Mus musculus: one gene and its partner. The protein of the gene in region 2 interacts with the protein of the main gene of each other region in a biochemical or structural test. Links are inferred from orthologs where the notes say so. Each region holds a gene or a part of one and is shown on either strand. Other genes may lie near its edges.

What was found.
Region 1: the proteins of Setd1a (region 2) and Wdr82 form a complex in vitro, tested with the Homo sapiens proteins (2 studies listed by BioGRID). The link is inferred for Mus musculus from reciprocal best matches to the Homo sapiens genes SETD1A and WDR82.

The regions. Positions count from the first base shown.
Region 1 is NC_000075.6:106,168,092-106,175,277, reverse strand, and holds the start of Wdr82 (WD repeat-containing protein 82), read right to left. Parts: upstream 4,350-7,186; 5' UTR 4,060-4,349; coding exon 3,899-4,059; intron 1-3,898. UniProt on the Homo sapiens protein: Regulatory component of the SET1/COMPASS complex implicated in the tethering of this complex to transcriptional start sites of active genes.
Region 2 is NC_000073.6:127,774,776-127,782,106, forward strand, and holds the start of Setd1a (histone-lysine N-methyltransferase SETD1A), read left to right. Parts: upstream 1-2,613; 5' UTR 2,614-2,738; intron 2,739-3,337; 5' UTR 3,338-3,352; coding exon 3,353-3,502; intron 3,503-3,730; coding exon 3,731-3,826; intron 3,827-5,609; coding exon 5,610-5,880; intron 5,881-7,331. UniProt on the Homo sapiens protein: Histone methyltransferase that catalyzes methyl group transfer from S-adenosyl-L-methionine to the epsilon-amino group of 'Lys-4' of histone H3 (H3K4) via a non-processive mechanism.

The DNA of each region.
Region 1 (7,186 bases), on a different chromosome or scaffold from region 2:
TACTAGTCACCAAGGGTTTGAATTTATGCAAAAGAATGTTTATCTTCTCAATGTCATATTATTTTGGAACCATATTATTTTGGTCGAGCAATCAGATGATCCAGGCTGCCTACAAGTCAATTTCTGTACTTTCAATTGTTAAGGTCAGAGAGGGTGAGGCCTTCTGCTTCATGAAACCTATTCTGAACAAGAGTTCTTTATTGTACTATACTTTCTATATGCCTGCCGTTTGTGAAATCAAATACCATCAGGTCCAGTCTACTTTCTGAAGCTCTGCTCTGCAGTCAGTACTTAGTAAGTACTTACTGAGTACTAGGTCCAGTCTACTGTCTGAAGCTCTGAGGTTAGTACTAGGTAAGTACTGACTGAGTGAGGCTGAGCATGCTGACTTTGCATCTATCAGTGGTAAAAGCGAATCCTAGTATTTCAGCCCATTTACAGTAGAAGACAGGGCTGGGATATGACTTAGTCACAGAAGGCTTGCTAGCATGCATGGAGCCCTGGACTCTATCTTCAACCCTTCAAGTAAACAGTACACTAAAGCATGTGGTATTAAAAAAAACCTGGGTTCCATTAAGATATGGTCTGTATGTCTTACATCCAAAAAAAAAATCCAAGCAAAACAAAAAAGCATTAACAGATGTGTCTTAATGAAAACTAATTCAGTTTTACTTTGAAAGTAAGAGTCTGACATCAACAATGGATATATTTTTTTATGTGAACTTTCCAAGTATTTTGGCAAGCTTCTTTAAAACTATGATTCTGGAGGCAGATATGAATAAAGAAAATAATAGTAAAGCCAGCTGCTGGTGGTGGGATACATGTGTATAATCCAGCACTTGGGATCAGGAGTTCAAGGCCAACCTTGGACACATAAGAGTTAGCCTGGACTACATGAGACTACTGTCTTAAGGCAAACTAAACATATGTGCGCATGTGCACGTGTGTGTGTGTGTGTGTGTGTGTGTGTGTTCATAGACAGAAAAAATTTGAAATATTTTACCAATCAAAAGCAATACCCCCTATATATTCCTTCAAGTCGAAGGAAGGGATGAGCCACATTCTAACATTTAATGGACAAACAAAACCAAAGCCCTTCACAACCTCTTCCTGGGCAGGTGAGCTGGTTAGATGGAGGCTAAGGGCACTTGCCGCCAAGCTCAATAATCACAGTTCACCCCCTGGGCTCCCAGGAAGGGAGGAAAGCAGCCAATCCTGCACGCTGTCTTCTACCTATACATGCACAGCAAGCTCACACACAGCTAAAACGTACACAGAGAACGTGTGCATGAAAAACTACTTTCAATAAAAAAAAAAAAATCCTTTTAAGCCAAGACTGAGGCCAGAGGATTGCTGTTGGAAGCCAACCAGCACTATAGCTACAGACAAAGTTCCACTGTGGGGTGTAGTATCTTAAAAACAACAAACAAAAATCAGCTGTGTTTTAGCTATTTTCAAATACCCAAATTCTACTACTGGTATTATCTAATAAAGATGTTACTTCCAAAGAAACAGTTATTTTCTTCTACTGTTGGAATTATTGGATTATTCTTCTATACATATATATTTTTACATTTACTGATTTTATGTATATGAGCATTTTGTCTGCTTGCTTGTATATATGGGCACCCTATGCAGGTCTGATGCACATGGAATCCAGAAGAGAACATCAGATCCCCTGCAACTGGAGTTAAATGTAATTGTGAGCCTCCACGTGGGTGCTGCTGATTAACCTAGGTTCTCTGCAAAATTAACATGCGCTCTTAACCACATGTTAGCCATCTCTCTAGCTCCTGGACTTTTTTCCCCCCACAAACTTCTCTCTTTATGAAGACTTCTTTATGTTATTTATAGGAGTACCCTTGTAGCTGACTTCAGACACACCAGAAGAGGGCATTGGATCCCATTATAGATGGTTGTGAGCCACCATGTGGTTGCTGGGAATTGAACTCAGGACCTGTGGAAGAGGTGCTCTTAACAGCTGAGCCATCTCTCAAGAAATCAGAATTAGGGGTCAAATCCCCTGGAACTAGTTACAGATGGTTACAAGGTGTAGGAGTCCACTTGTTCCTCTCTAAGAGCAAGTGCCTGTAGCCATCTCCAGCCCTTACATTTCCTTTTTGGGACAGCTGTTCAAGCTGCCTTGGATTCGCACCCCCAGCTCCCAAGCGCTGAAATTATAGGCACTGCTGGACACGTTCTTTTTTCAAGAAAGTTCTTTGGAGCATTGTAACTTTCTGTAAGTTTGTAATCATGTAAAAAGGTTACATGCCTGAATAAACATTTTTTTCAGTCTTAGTGTTTTATTCCTTTGAATAGGATATGCATTTCCATTACAGATTTGGGGGGGAGATTCTAAGCTATGTATTGCACCAAACATGTCAGACAAACCAATTTCAAATTACTTGTAGTTCCAAACAGAATCAAATAGTCAGACCAGTGTATGATAATAATCAATACACAAATATGAACATCAATTCAAATAACTATTTGTCCAGTTAGTAATTTTCTCTTCCCCAGGATCACCACTGTAGGAAACTCTCCCACATACAGCAAGCTCAAGTCCAACGACAGTTACGTAATACTTTGTTGGAGCTCCAGCGAGGAAACCCATCAAGGACAATATCATATACAGCTCATTCTACAATAGCTTTACTTTAGATAAACTCAGAGACAAGTTCCAAAAGAAAACTATTATTTGAAAAAAATAATAAACAAAGAGAACAGCTGCAAAAAGGAGAGAAAAAGCCAAGGATTCAAAAACAGGTAACTTTAACATAATGTCGAAAACAGTAGCTATTAAACTAAACACCTCCTGCTTAGGAAGGAAGCTGAAGTTGACAAAGGGAATCAAATTTAGCCTAAACTAGTTTCTGCTACAAAAGAGGTCACTGCTTACTTATCGAGGATTTGAACTTCCAGAGATGAGACAGGCAATGTCTTCCTCACACCCAGGCTATGAAAACGGCAAAGATACACAAGTTCTCCAACTAACATAATTTCCATAACCAGTTCCAGAATTCCAAAACTTTGATAACTATAAGCAAACCACAATCTGGCGGTTATTGTTTTTTGTTTTTTAACTGTTTTGAGTCAGGGTCTCTCTGCTATGAAGTCCAGAACTCAGGGTCTGACTGCCTCTATCGCCCAAATGCTGAGATTACTGGCTAAGCGGCCAAACTTGGGTTTTTTTTGTAATGCAAAAGGAAACACTAAATTGTTCCGGAATGCTTTCTTTGTTTTAAAGAGAGCTCACATTCTGACCAGAATGGGGCGGCCAAGTTCTCAGGAGTCTGGCAAAGAAAAGTTTCCAAGAGTCTGTTTAGTAAGTTAACTGTAAGCCTGGGTATTGGTACTGGGAAAGGACAGCAAGCTCACATGGGCACAATCGATAAATCCTGACAGCTTAAAAACTGCATCCCGCGGGGCTTGATTGCAGAAAAGCCGCGCGGGAAGCTGAGGGGTAGGGGGCGGGCACCGTGCCAGGGCTGAATCCAGGTCACTGCTGTGAAGGCAGAGAGCTGGACGCCACTGATGGACAGAACACAGCTCCTGCCGTTCTGCATCGAGCTCAGAGTCCACCCGCACATTCTGACAGTCGCCAGGGGAGTGGAAAGGGCTATCCGTCCGGCTGCAGGGTGCAGGGACATGGCGTTTAAAGGTCAAGGTCAAGGTGGGGTTTGGCAAGCGGGAAAAGCGCGCTCGGAAGAGAGCAAAGACACATGAACTAAGAACCATCATCATCTTAAAGAGGATCTCCTGCAGCACTGCGGGATGGAGGTGGCCCTGGCAAGAGCGCCTGCACCACATGCCTGGGGTTGGGGGTGGGGGCTCAGTCGGGGACCAGCGACAGAGGGAAGGAGAGGGGCACTTGGAACTCGGCCACTATCACACTCACTTGCCCTCCTGGCAGTCATAGAGCACGATGGAGTCATCATCGCTGCTAGAGATGACCGTCTCGCCATTGGGACTAAAGTCAAAGCAGTTGATCTTGTCTGAGTTCTCGCGGAACACCTTGGCGACGCGGAAGCTCCGGAGCACGCTGTCGGTCAGCTTCATGGCGGCGGCGGCTGCTGCTGCTGAAGGCAGCGGCGGCGCAGGGCCGGGGCGGGGCCGAGAGGCGAGCGATCGGGCGGGCTGCTCAGGGCCAACCCCGGCGGTGCGGGCGCCGCGCTGGAGACGAACCGAAGGACGGCTGACAGTGGGGCTGCCGCGTCCTCTTCCTCAGGCGACGCTCTCTCGCCCGGACGACGGGACCTCGCTGACCGTTCTTCTCCGGAGTCAATTCAGGGCCAACCGGCGCTCCGCCGGCTCATTGTGTCCGCCATCTTGAAGGGAGAAGCAAAATCAGAGGGCGAGGAGCTTGTGTCGCGGCGGACGCCGGGAAAGGGGGCGGGGAGGGAACGGAGGCGCGAGCTGGGGGAGGGGGGGCGGGACGATGACGTCAGCGGGGCGGCCTCCCGTTGCTGAGGCCCCGGAGCTGGAGCCCGCGGTTCTGGGGTGTGAACCTGCGGGCGTGGAGCATCTAAACCCTCTCTCTCGAGGGCAGGACTTGAGGTCGCCTCGGGGCTAGTGCCTTTGTGGGTGCTCTCAAGCCCCGGGGAGACGCTGGTGTCTCTGAGGCCGCAGGACCTGGCGGAGAGGCCTGCTCGTGTGTGGGTGTGAATCAGGTGAACCCATCACCGACTGACTTAACCACTGCACGGCCGAGCCAGGAGGCTTCGATTTGTTAGTTGAGTGATGTACAACATACACTTGCACGAAGTTTTAAGTGGCATTTTCAACTGGGTTTATATTAAACTTCAGAAGCTTGGAACTTCTTTTAAAATTTAATGAGAGTCGAAGCGCATGAAGATCCCTAACTTCTAGTGCGGGAGGAGGGGGAACCTTAGGAAGGGACATTTCACTCACTGGCAGGTGATTGCAAAGGCATGACAACCAGAGTCCCTTATAACCTGGGTTGACAAACGACGAAATGGAACACGAGAAAAAAATGGAGCCTTCTTGAAAAATGTGCGGGGGGGTTGCATCTCAGGTTCTTAGGTTAAAGAAAAAAGGTAGCTAGATAGAACTGGAAGTGGTTGGCTGAGGGAAAACGACAAGATTGTAAGTTTGTACTGCAGTTGTCTCCTGACAAAGGGCAGAGTTCCTGGCTACAATCTGTTCCGGGGTGTGAGGAAGGGAAGGAACCAGTTTGAGTGAAACCTGAATGGATGGCAACTTTCCAAATTGCAAATCTGTTCTAGAAAAACCTTCCACAGGTGGTTGCACTCAATCCCCAGTGATTGCCTTTGAGTTTAGGTGATCCAGGTGATCCAGGCTGCTATGGAGCTTGAGATAGCAAGGACAGATCTGGTGCCATGTGCCCGACTTGCTGTGGGAACTGAAGTTTTCTGAAGAGCATCTACAATAAAGATCCTGCAGACTGGCTGACTACAACATCGCAATTGTGGAGACATCAAATGTAGGCAAAGGATCTGGAACTATTTTAGGCCTCTTTAAAAACTAGTGTGTGTGTGTGTCTGTGAGTGCGTGCACACATGCTTTTACCTTCTGAGCCTTCTAAGGTGGCCTTGCTTTAGACTTTAAATAGCCATTTACTCTAACTTCCAACATTCTCCTAATAAATTTCTCGAGAGACATCATTCAGTTTAGCTTCATTCACCCTAAAGCTAAGATGGCTGTAACATCACCTGAAATCTATAATTTCCCTACTATACAGCTTTGCTGTGTGGCCCATCTACTTGATATTTTCACAAATATAATTGATCAACATACTGAATTTGTTTTGGGGGGGTGCTGTTCTGTGACTACAAATTTGTGTAATTTCTTCTAGGTAGAACCTGTTATTAAGGGTAAATTGACTCCTAATTCCTGGGCAAAGCTGTTCTTTTATATCAGCATTTGGGAAGCAAATATACCCAGGAGATGCCAGTGTATGTGTGTGTGTGTGTTTGGAGGGGTCTGTTTTAACATACAAATTTGACTGTAACAACAGTCTTAATTTACCAAAATGTTCTCTACCAAAAAAAAAAAAAAAAAAAAAAGCCTTGAAAGGTATCTTTCAAAACTATACCCTGGGGCTGGTGAGATGGCTCAGTTGGTAAGAGCACCCAACTGCTCTTCTGAAGGTCCAAAGTTCAAATCCCAGCAACCACATGGTGGCTCACAACCATCCGTAATGAGATCTGACTCCCTCTTCTGGAGTGTCTGAAAACAACTACAGTGTACTTACATATAGTAAAAATAAATAAATGTTTAAAACAAACAAAAAACTATACCCTGTACCTTCTTTAGACTTCACTGTTAAAGCTCCCTCCCAAGATTTAGCATCCTGTTTTTTTTTTTTTTTTTTTTTTAAAGATTTATTTATTTATTGTATGTAAGTACACTGTAGCTGTCTTCAGACACTCCAGAAGAGGGAGTCAGATCTCGTTACAGATGGTTGTTAGCCACCATGTGGTTGCTGGGATTTGAACTCCAGACCTTTGGAAGAGCAGTCGGGTGCTCTTACCCACTGAGCCATCTCACCAGCCCGCATCCTGTTTTTAAAATGGAAAAAAAAAAGTAATTTTTTTCATATTTTTCGATGGTCACTTGGATTCACTTGCTGGTTCGGCTCCCTGATCTGCTATAGTGGGCTTGCCTGGCTTCTAGTCCAGTATTATCACTGCCTTAAAGGATAGACTTTGAAAGTGACCCAAAATGGTTAGCTAGTTCCAGGGCAGAGGGAAAGCTGGAGTTAGGAGTGGACTGTGTCACTTAAAAAAACAAAACAAAACAAAAACCAAGAAAACAAAACAAAACAAAAAAAAAACGCTCCAGGTTTTGTGTGGTGGCTCCCACTTCTCATACTAGGGAGGTGGGAGCCAGCCAGGGCTGTAGAGTGGGCTTTGTTTTTGCTTTTAAAGATGACATAAACAGGATGGATCAGGGGTTAAGAGCCTCAACTGTTCTTCTAGAGGTCCTGAGTTCAATTCCCAGCAACCTCATGGTGACTCACAACCATCTGTAACAGGATCCAATGCCCTCTTCTGGTGTGTCTGAAGACATTGACAGTGTACTCACATACATAAAATAAATACTTTTTTTTTTTTTTTTTTTTAAGGTGAAACAAGCCAAGATCAGCACTGGGTGTAGTAGAATACACACGGAATCCCAGCACTCAGCAACTAGACAGGACTCT
Region 2 (7,331 bases):
AACTCTTCTTCAGACACTGATTTTTTTTCTTTTGTTTTGTTTTTCAAGCCAGAGTTTCACTATGTCTGTTGCTCTGGCTGTCCTGGAACACTCTCTGTAGACCAGGCTGGCCTTGAGCTCAGAGATGTACCTGCCTCTGCCTCCCATGTACAGGGATTAAAGGCATGCACCACCACCACCTGACACTGAGTTTTTGATGCACCTTGTTTTGTAAATAAAGTGTGTCTCACATATGTTCCTATGGCTATGAATGGGATGAAGGTGAAACCTTGGGTATGGTTCTTTGTTCCTAAGGGCCAGATGGAGGTAATATGCTTGATAGATGGTATGAGTCCATCAGGTGCTGACAAGATCTGATAAACTTCTGAATGTGGTAAACAGTTATTCCCAGACTAAGGCCTCTGAACTCTTGTTCCTAAACTTGGGATTTGTGTAAGCTTCTTTCTTGAATGATCCCTTCATCTTATGGGACGATTCCTAAGTTCTCTCAGTTACTCATCACAGACATTTCAATAAACAAGTTTTATATTTCCCATTTTTAAGAGGCAGCTGAGGCCAAGAGGCTAATCTGGCCCTAAGCCACAGAGTTAGTCCATGACCTCAATTACCTTTACTATGGTCAAGGGATTTCTGGGAGAGAGAGGAAGGAAATTGGTACCCTTCGATTGGGATAAATCAAAGGGACCTCAGCTCCTGTACCTTCATGTGCATCTTTTCCTCAGCCTCAGAACTTGAGAGTATAAATCCTACCGTCTAGTCGTGATAGACCTTGTACAGACTCATTTTCTTTTATTACTTGAAATGGTCAGTTAAAATGTGTAAAACCAGGCTCCAATTTTTCCTACCACTGTTATGATGGTTACAGTCAGTCTTTTGTGACAGATAGCCATCCATTCTGGAGGTATAACCTGAAACTAAGGAAAGTCAAAGGCTTGCCCAGCAGCCTATAATGAGAGGCTCTTGTAGAGGGCCACTTAAGGCATCTTCAGCTCAGAAGCCTTGGCAAGAGTGCAGTTCTTCCAGAGACCAGAGAGCCTGTATTCATTCGCTGGATGAAAAGGGTGTTGAACCTTGGGACGATCTCAGTTTTGGGTTCCCAAGTGAAGCTTGAACGAGGTCTGTCCTTAAGTTTCGCAGCGGGATCCTATGAGCATAGGTAGCCCTTGCCTAAAAACTGCTCAAGAATAACCGGGTTACATCAGACCTTTACTTTTTATAGGATCTACTTAAGGGTCTTTATGTTTCTTTTAAGCTCAACAGAACCCTGATTTTAACCACTGAACATTTTTTTTTTTTTTTTTTTTTTTTTTTTTTTTGAGACAGGGTTTCTCTGTGTAGCTCTGGCTGTCCTGGAACTCACTCTGTAGACCAGGCTGGCCTCCAACTCAGAAATCCACCTGCCTCAGCCTCCCAGGTCCTGGGATTAAAGACGTGTACCACCACTGCTCGGCTCAGAAGGAACATTTTAAAACTAGCCCAAGGGAGGTGTAACTAGGGTACTGGCCTAACACGCAGAAAGCCCTGAGTTAGATCTCCCAGCATGCTATAAACCGGTTATGGTGTGCACACCTGTAATTCCGGTACTCAGGAAATAGAGGCAAAAGGATCTGGAGTTCGAGGCCATCCTCCGTTATATAGCAAGTTCGATGTCATGCTGTCTGAAAAACAACAGGAGCCCGAATATAAAAGCGGGAAGGAACCGATCATTTCACTCTGTGCGTCGGTAGGCAAAGCGCCTGAGTCACCCCTCCTGGTTGTATTTTTCCACCTCCCACCCCTCCCAGGTTTTGGTGGATTCTAAGGGAAGCAGCCCGTTACGCCGGGCTCCGCACGCCTGGCCACGCCTCTCTCGTTAGCCCCGCCCACAACCGGATCGGCAGATTCGCTACCCGACTCCTTAGGATTATTTGGGCAGCTTTTCTTGTCTGAAAATTTTCAGGAAACGCCGAGAAGACTTCTTCCTTGTAACCATTTCGCACTAAGTAGGAAGTGTGCTGTTCCTTGAGTCGTTCTACTGAAAAAAAAAAAAATCCAGGACTAGAGGTCGACTCTGCCAACAGGGCTTGGCGAGCCAGGCGTCATTTTCTTGACTCTACAGCAGGTGAGAAGAGGTGACGGCCAAAGCCCAGGACGGTGGCGAATCTGCACTGCAGCCTCATAGGCATTCGGGCTGCGCAAGGAAGGGGCAGGGAAGAGGAGCCGAGGAGCGCGCATCCTGTCCACTCATTCGCCCCGCCCGCCTCGCGAATCTGCGTCGTTGGACGCGCCACTCAAATCTCCCGAGCTCTGGCTGGCGTCCTCCCCCTCGCTCCGCCCCCTTCCCTCAGGGGCTCGTCGCAGCTTTCGTCGCCGCCGATTCGCCAGGAACCCCAAGGCCGGAGCAGCTGGATCAGGGTGGTGCGGTCCACTCTCCGGGGAATGCGGCCCATCTTCAGGCTCCCTGGGCTACAACTCCCGAGCCTCGCAGGGCGCCGGCCGAGGCAAGGCCGCTACCCTCGGCCCCGTGGATCGCTCCGCAGTCCTTGTAGCGAAAGTGCGGATGCAGACGCTGTGCCCGCTGGGCCTCGCGCAGGTGGCGGTGGTGTTTGGTGCGCGCGCCGGGGAGGTGGTGGTGGGGGGGCGCCGCCGCCGCCACCGCTGCGGGGCCGGGTCTCGCGCTGCCGCCGCCGCCGCCGCCGCCTCACGCCGCTGAGGTGCTGCGCGCGGTGGGGGGAGGGTGAGCCGCTCGCCACGAGCGGGTGAGTAGGGCCCCGGCGCGCGTGCGCGCCGACGGGGTGGGGGGGGTGGACGACACCGAACGCGCCCGGGCGGGAGGAGAGGGCAGCGGCGCGCGTTACCTCCCCCCACCCCCCCGCCTGGATTCAGGGACCGAAGCTGGGTCTCAGATTCGGTCTCGCGGTGTTTCCAACGCCCCGAAGAGGTGCCACCTCTGGTTCGGAGGATCGGGGCGCGGGGACGCGAGCGGCTGTGTGGGAGCGGGAGCGGGGCTCGGCCCGGGCCGCTTGGCCGGTGAGGAGGCGGGAGGGGGCGGGGCCTGCGAGGGGACGGGGGAGGGGTCTTGCGTGGAGGCCAAGTGGGGCGCGCTGGGGAGAGCGGGAAGGTAAGGGGGCGCGAGATGGGCCTGGGCCCTGAGGGTAGAATTGGGGATGGAGAGGAATGGAGTGCCATAGTGAGCCCAGCTCCTCAGGGCAAGATCTGAGGGAGCCACGGGTCATGCTGAGGTGTCGGGGACTGGACTGATGTGAGACCCTGGAATCGGGGCTAGACATTGAGGGGACAGCAAGGGAGTCAGGCCTAAGTCGTGGACTCCCATTCCGTATCCCTCTTTTCCTGACAGTGTAAATGAGCAAAGATGGACCAGGAAGGTGGGGGAGACGGGCAGAAAGCCCCGAGCTTCCAGTGGCGGAACTACAAGCTCATAGTGGATCCTGCTTTGGACCCTGCTTTGCGCAGGCCTTCCCAGAAGGTGTACCGCTATGACGGAGTCCACTTCAGTGTCAGTGTGAGTGCCCTCGAGCCTTTCTTGACTTATTTGGACCTCCAATCTCCCCTCCCCGCTTCCCCCTGTTCAGTATTCAACACCCAGACTTCCTATACCTGTAGTTTGGTTTTTTGAGAATGAGCAAGCTCTCCCAGCTCTTCTGTATGTTGGCTTCTACATGGGCTTTATAGAGTCAGTAGGCTGGTGAATTTTCAGCCTGGTTTCATCTCTTCCTGCTTTCTTTGTTAGGACTCAAAGTATACCCCCGTGGAAGACCTCCAGGACCCCCGCTGTCATGTCAGGTCCAAAGCCAGAGACTTTTCCCTCCCGGTTCCTAAGTTTAAGGTGAGTGCCTGCTGGTCTCCCTGCATGTTGGTCCTTGGAGAGTGTCAAGGACCCTGGGCTTCACACAGTCTACCAAAGTGTTTATTCCGAAGGAACTATGACAGCCAGATCTCATTGCTTTTTGTGTCTGTGAGACTGAGATGTTTTGGACAGAAGGTATACATGTATAGCTGAGGTGACTCTAGTATATATCTGGTGACAAGGGTATTGATGTCTGGAAGGATGAGGTATGGGTGGGTATTCTGAAGCCTTGTGACAGTGGGATAGCCAAGTTATTCAGCAATTAAGGATGCTGCTAAGACCACTGTGCACTTGGAGTTGTGTGTTCTTGCTGTCATTGTGTGTGCTCCTCTGTCCTGTCTGTACGAGCAGCTTGCTTCCCTACTGTAATAAGATATTCTTCAAACTTCGGACTGTCTCGAAAATTGGTAGTTCTTTGTCTCCTCCTAATTTTGTTTTTGTTTTCTTTTACTGATTATTGGTAAAGTAAGTTGTGCAGTGGCTTCACCCTTCTGAATCCCCCCTTTCTTGAGCAGCTTTACTGAAAGCTCTTCTGTCTGAATGTTTATGTCTCATACCTCCTTCCTGCCAGCATCTACTGAGACACTAAAACATCATCTTTCTTCCCTGAGTCCTGCTCTCCTCACTTCCTCTTGACTGATGAATGGCAATACCAGGTACTCGGGTACCCAAGCTGGAAGCCTGGAGTCACCCAGTAGTTCTTTCCTTTCGTCTTAATCTTTAGGTTTCCATTGCCATGTTCTTCATGCAGAGTCCGATGTTTGCTCGCTTTCTGCAGCTTTCCTCAGTTTTAGGCTCCATCTTGCTGTTGTCACTGGTTTTAATGTTCTTATTTTAATTTTGTTTTCCAAGTCTGTTTTTCTTTTTTATTATATTATTTTTCATGTGTGTACATTCATAAATAAGCTTGCATGCCATTGTGCACATGTAGAAGTTAGAGCACAACTTGTGGGAATTGGTTTTCATCATGGGTCCTAGTGGTCAAACTCAAGGTTGTCAGGCTTGGTGACAAGTGTCTGTACCTACTGAGCCATATTGCTGGCATCCTAAGTCTGTTTTGAGGCATTGACATGTGTGGTTATTGATCTGGGCAGGCCTTATCACCTCTTTGACACCATATCCCTGTAATATTCCACCAGACACTTTTCAGTGTTTAGAAAATATCAAGATGGATAAATTTCATGTCTTGGAAGTTTGTTGTTTTGGTAAACTTTAAGCATCTACAGAGTCCAGAAAGAATGATAGCGGCTCCCCAATACCCTGTCTCTACATCTTTGCTACCACTGTGTTATATTTATATTTATATCTGGCTTATCTTTTTTTTTTTTTGAAACAAGTACTCCCTAGGTAGCCGCTGGCCTTGAACTAAGAATCCTGTGCTTCAGCCTCCCATGTGCTAGCATTGTAAGAGTGCACGGCACACTCGGCTCTGTCTTGTCTCTTTTCTGAATGGGAACTTTTCCTTTTTTTCTGTTTCTAGTAATTAGCTTATGCTAGTCTGTAACCCTGAACTAATAGATTACTTTCTTCTATTACTTTGTCCTATGTATGTTAATTCTTGTTTTGTGTGTTTTCTTCCCAGTTGTTGCTATATGTCATAAGAGGGCTTGAAAAACAGGTCACTGCTAATGTACCTCTCATGAGCCCCCTTGACGTCTCTGTCCCAGATTTGTCTTAATCTCATAGATGTCTCTGAAGTTTCCCAAATGGTAAGGAAACTGCTCACTATGGAAGCCCGAGACCAATTCTTGTCTTTCCACAGCTGGATGAGTTCTATATTGGACAGATACCACTGAAGGAAGTAACTTTTGCGAGGCTCAATGACAATGTGAGGGAAACCTTCCTGAAGGATATGTGCCGGAAATATGGAGAGGTGGAAGAAGTGGAGATCCTTCTTCATCCCCGCACTCGAAAGCACCTAGGCCTGGCCCGTGTGCTCTTCACCAGCACTCGGGGCGCCAAGGAAACTGTCAAAAACCTCCACCTCACCTCTGTCATGGGCAACATCATTCATGCCCAGCTTGATATCAAAGGTGAGGACTCGCTGCATGTTGCCTAAAGTTGGTTTCTAACAGGGATTCTATATGCTGATACTTAATTGGGCTCAGCCAAGTAATCAGGGTCATGATTACCAAAATTCCTGAAGTCACGTCTGTTTCAGAACTTATTAGATTTTAAATTTTAGAGATACATTTTGAGATTCATTTAGATATTTGTGTGTGTGTGTCTGTTTTGCCTGAATATATATCTGTGAACAGCATGTACGTCTTACACTCATGGAAGTCAAAAGAAGGCATCAGATTCCCCTGGAACTGGTTTAATGGTTGGGAGCCACCATGTGGGTGCTGGGAATTGAACTCCGGTTTTCTGGAAGAGCTACCAGACCACTTAACTGCTGAGTCATCTCTCCAGCTCAGGGAGGGTTTTTCTTTTTTGTTTGTTGGTTGTTTTAAACTTATACATATTTTGTGCTTTCTTCAGTAGCACATATGTTAACATTGAAACTTCAGGAAATTAAAGAACTAGAGTTTTAGGTCACGGCCTGCCAAAACCACAGATGTGTGAAGATAAAGATGAATTAGGCAGAGTCTCATTGTGGCACATGCCTATCATCCTTGTGCTTGGGAGGCAGAGGCAGGAGGACTTTGAGGCTAACCTGACTACACAGATGATTCCAGGTCAACTAGTGCTGCATAGTGAGAACTTTCTCAACAAAAAGGAACCAGGAGATAACCCTTAGTTGGTAACAGTACATACTATACAAATATGAAGGCCTGAGTCTGAATCTCCATCGGTCACACATTCTAGATATGGTTGTGTATGCCTATAACTTGGTTTTGTGGGGAGAAGACAGGCAGGTCCCAGAGTCTTTCTGACAAGCCAGGGTATAAATTGGCAAACTTCAGTTCTAGTGAGACCTTCTCCCAAAGGAGTGAGAGAGTACAACAATGGGAGATATCCAGTGTCCTCCTGTGGCCTTTGTGTGTGCACACAAATAAAAATAAAGAAAAATGGAGCAGGTTTGAACTGCTTTTAAGGAATTACAGGGAGAGATGTCATCGTACAGTGCCATCTAAGGGAAGAGGTTGTTAACTGATGTTTACAAATGGGAGTGAAGACCAATGTTTCCAAATTCAACTTAAGACTTTTGTATGTAATCTTATAGTTTTTATGTGTTTTTGAAACAGAATCTCACTACATAGCTTTGGCTGGCCTTGAACTCACTGAGATCCACCTGCCTCTACTGTCTTGAGTGCTAGAATTAAACTGTTTTAATTGTTTGTTCTGTTTTTAATGTTTTTATTTCTTTTATAGGTCTCACTCTATAACTTAGCCTGCCCTTGTAGTCTACACCTGGTCCCAGGCTTTATTCTTGGTGTTTTAACTTTACTTTTAAGGATTTGCTTTGCTTCTGTGTATGTGTGTGTTTGTGTAGATGTGTGCACATGTATGTGTATGCCACAGAGACTAGAAGAGGGTATTT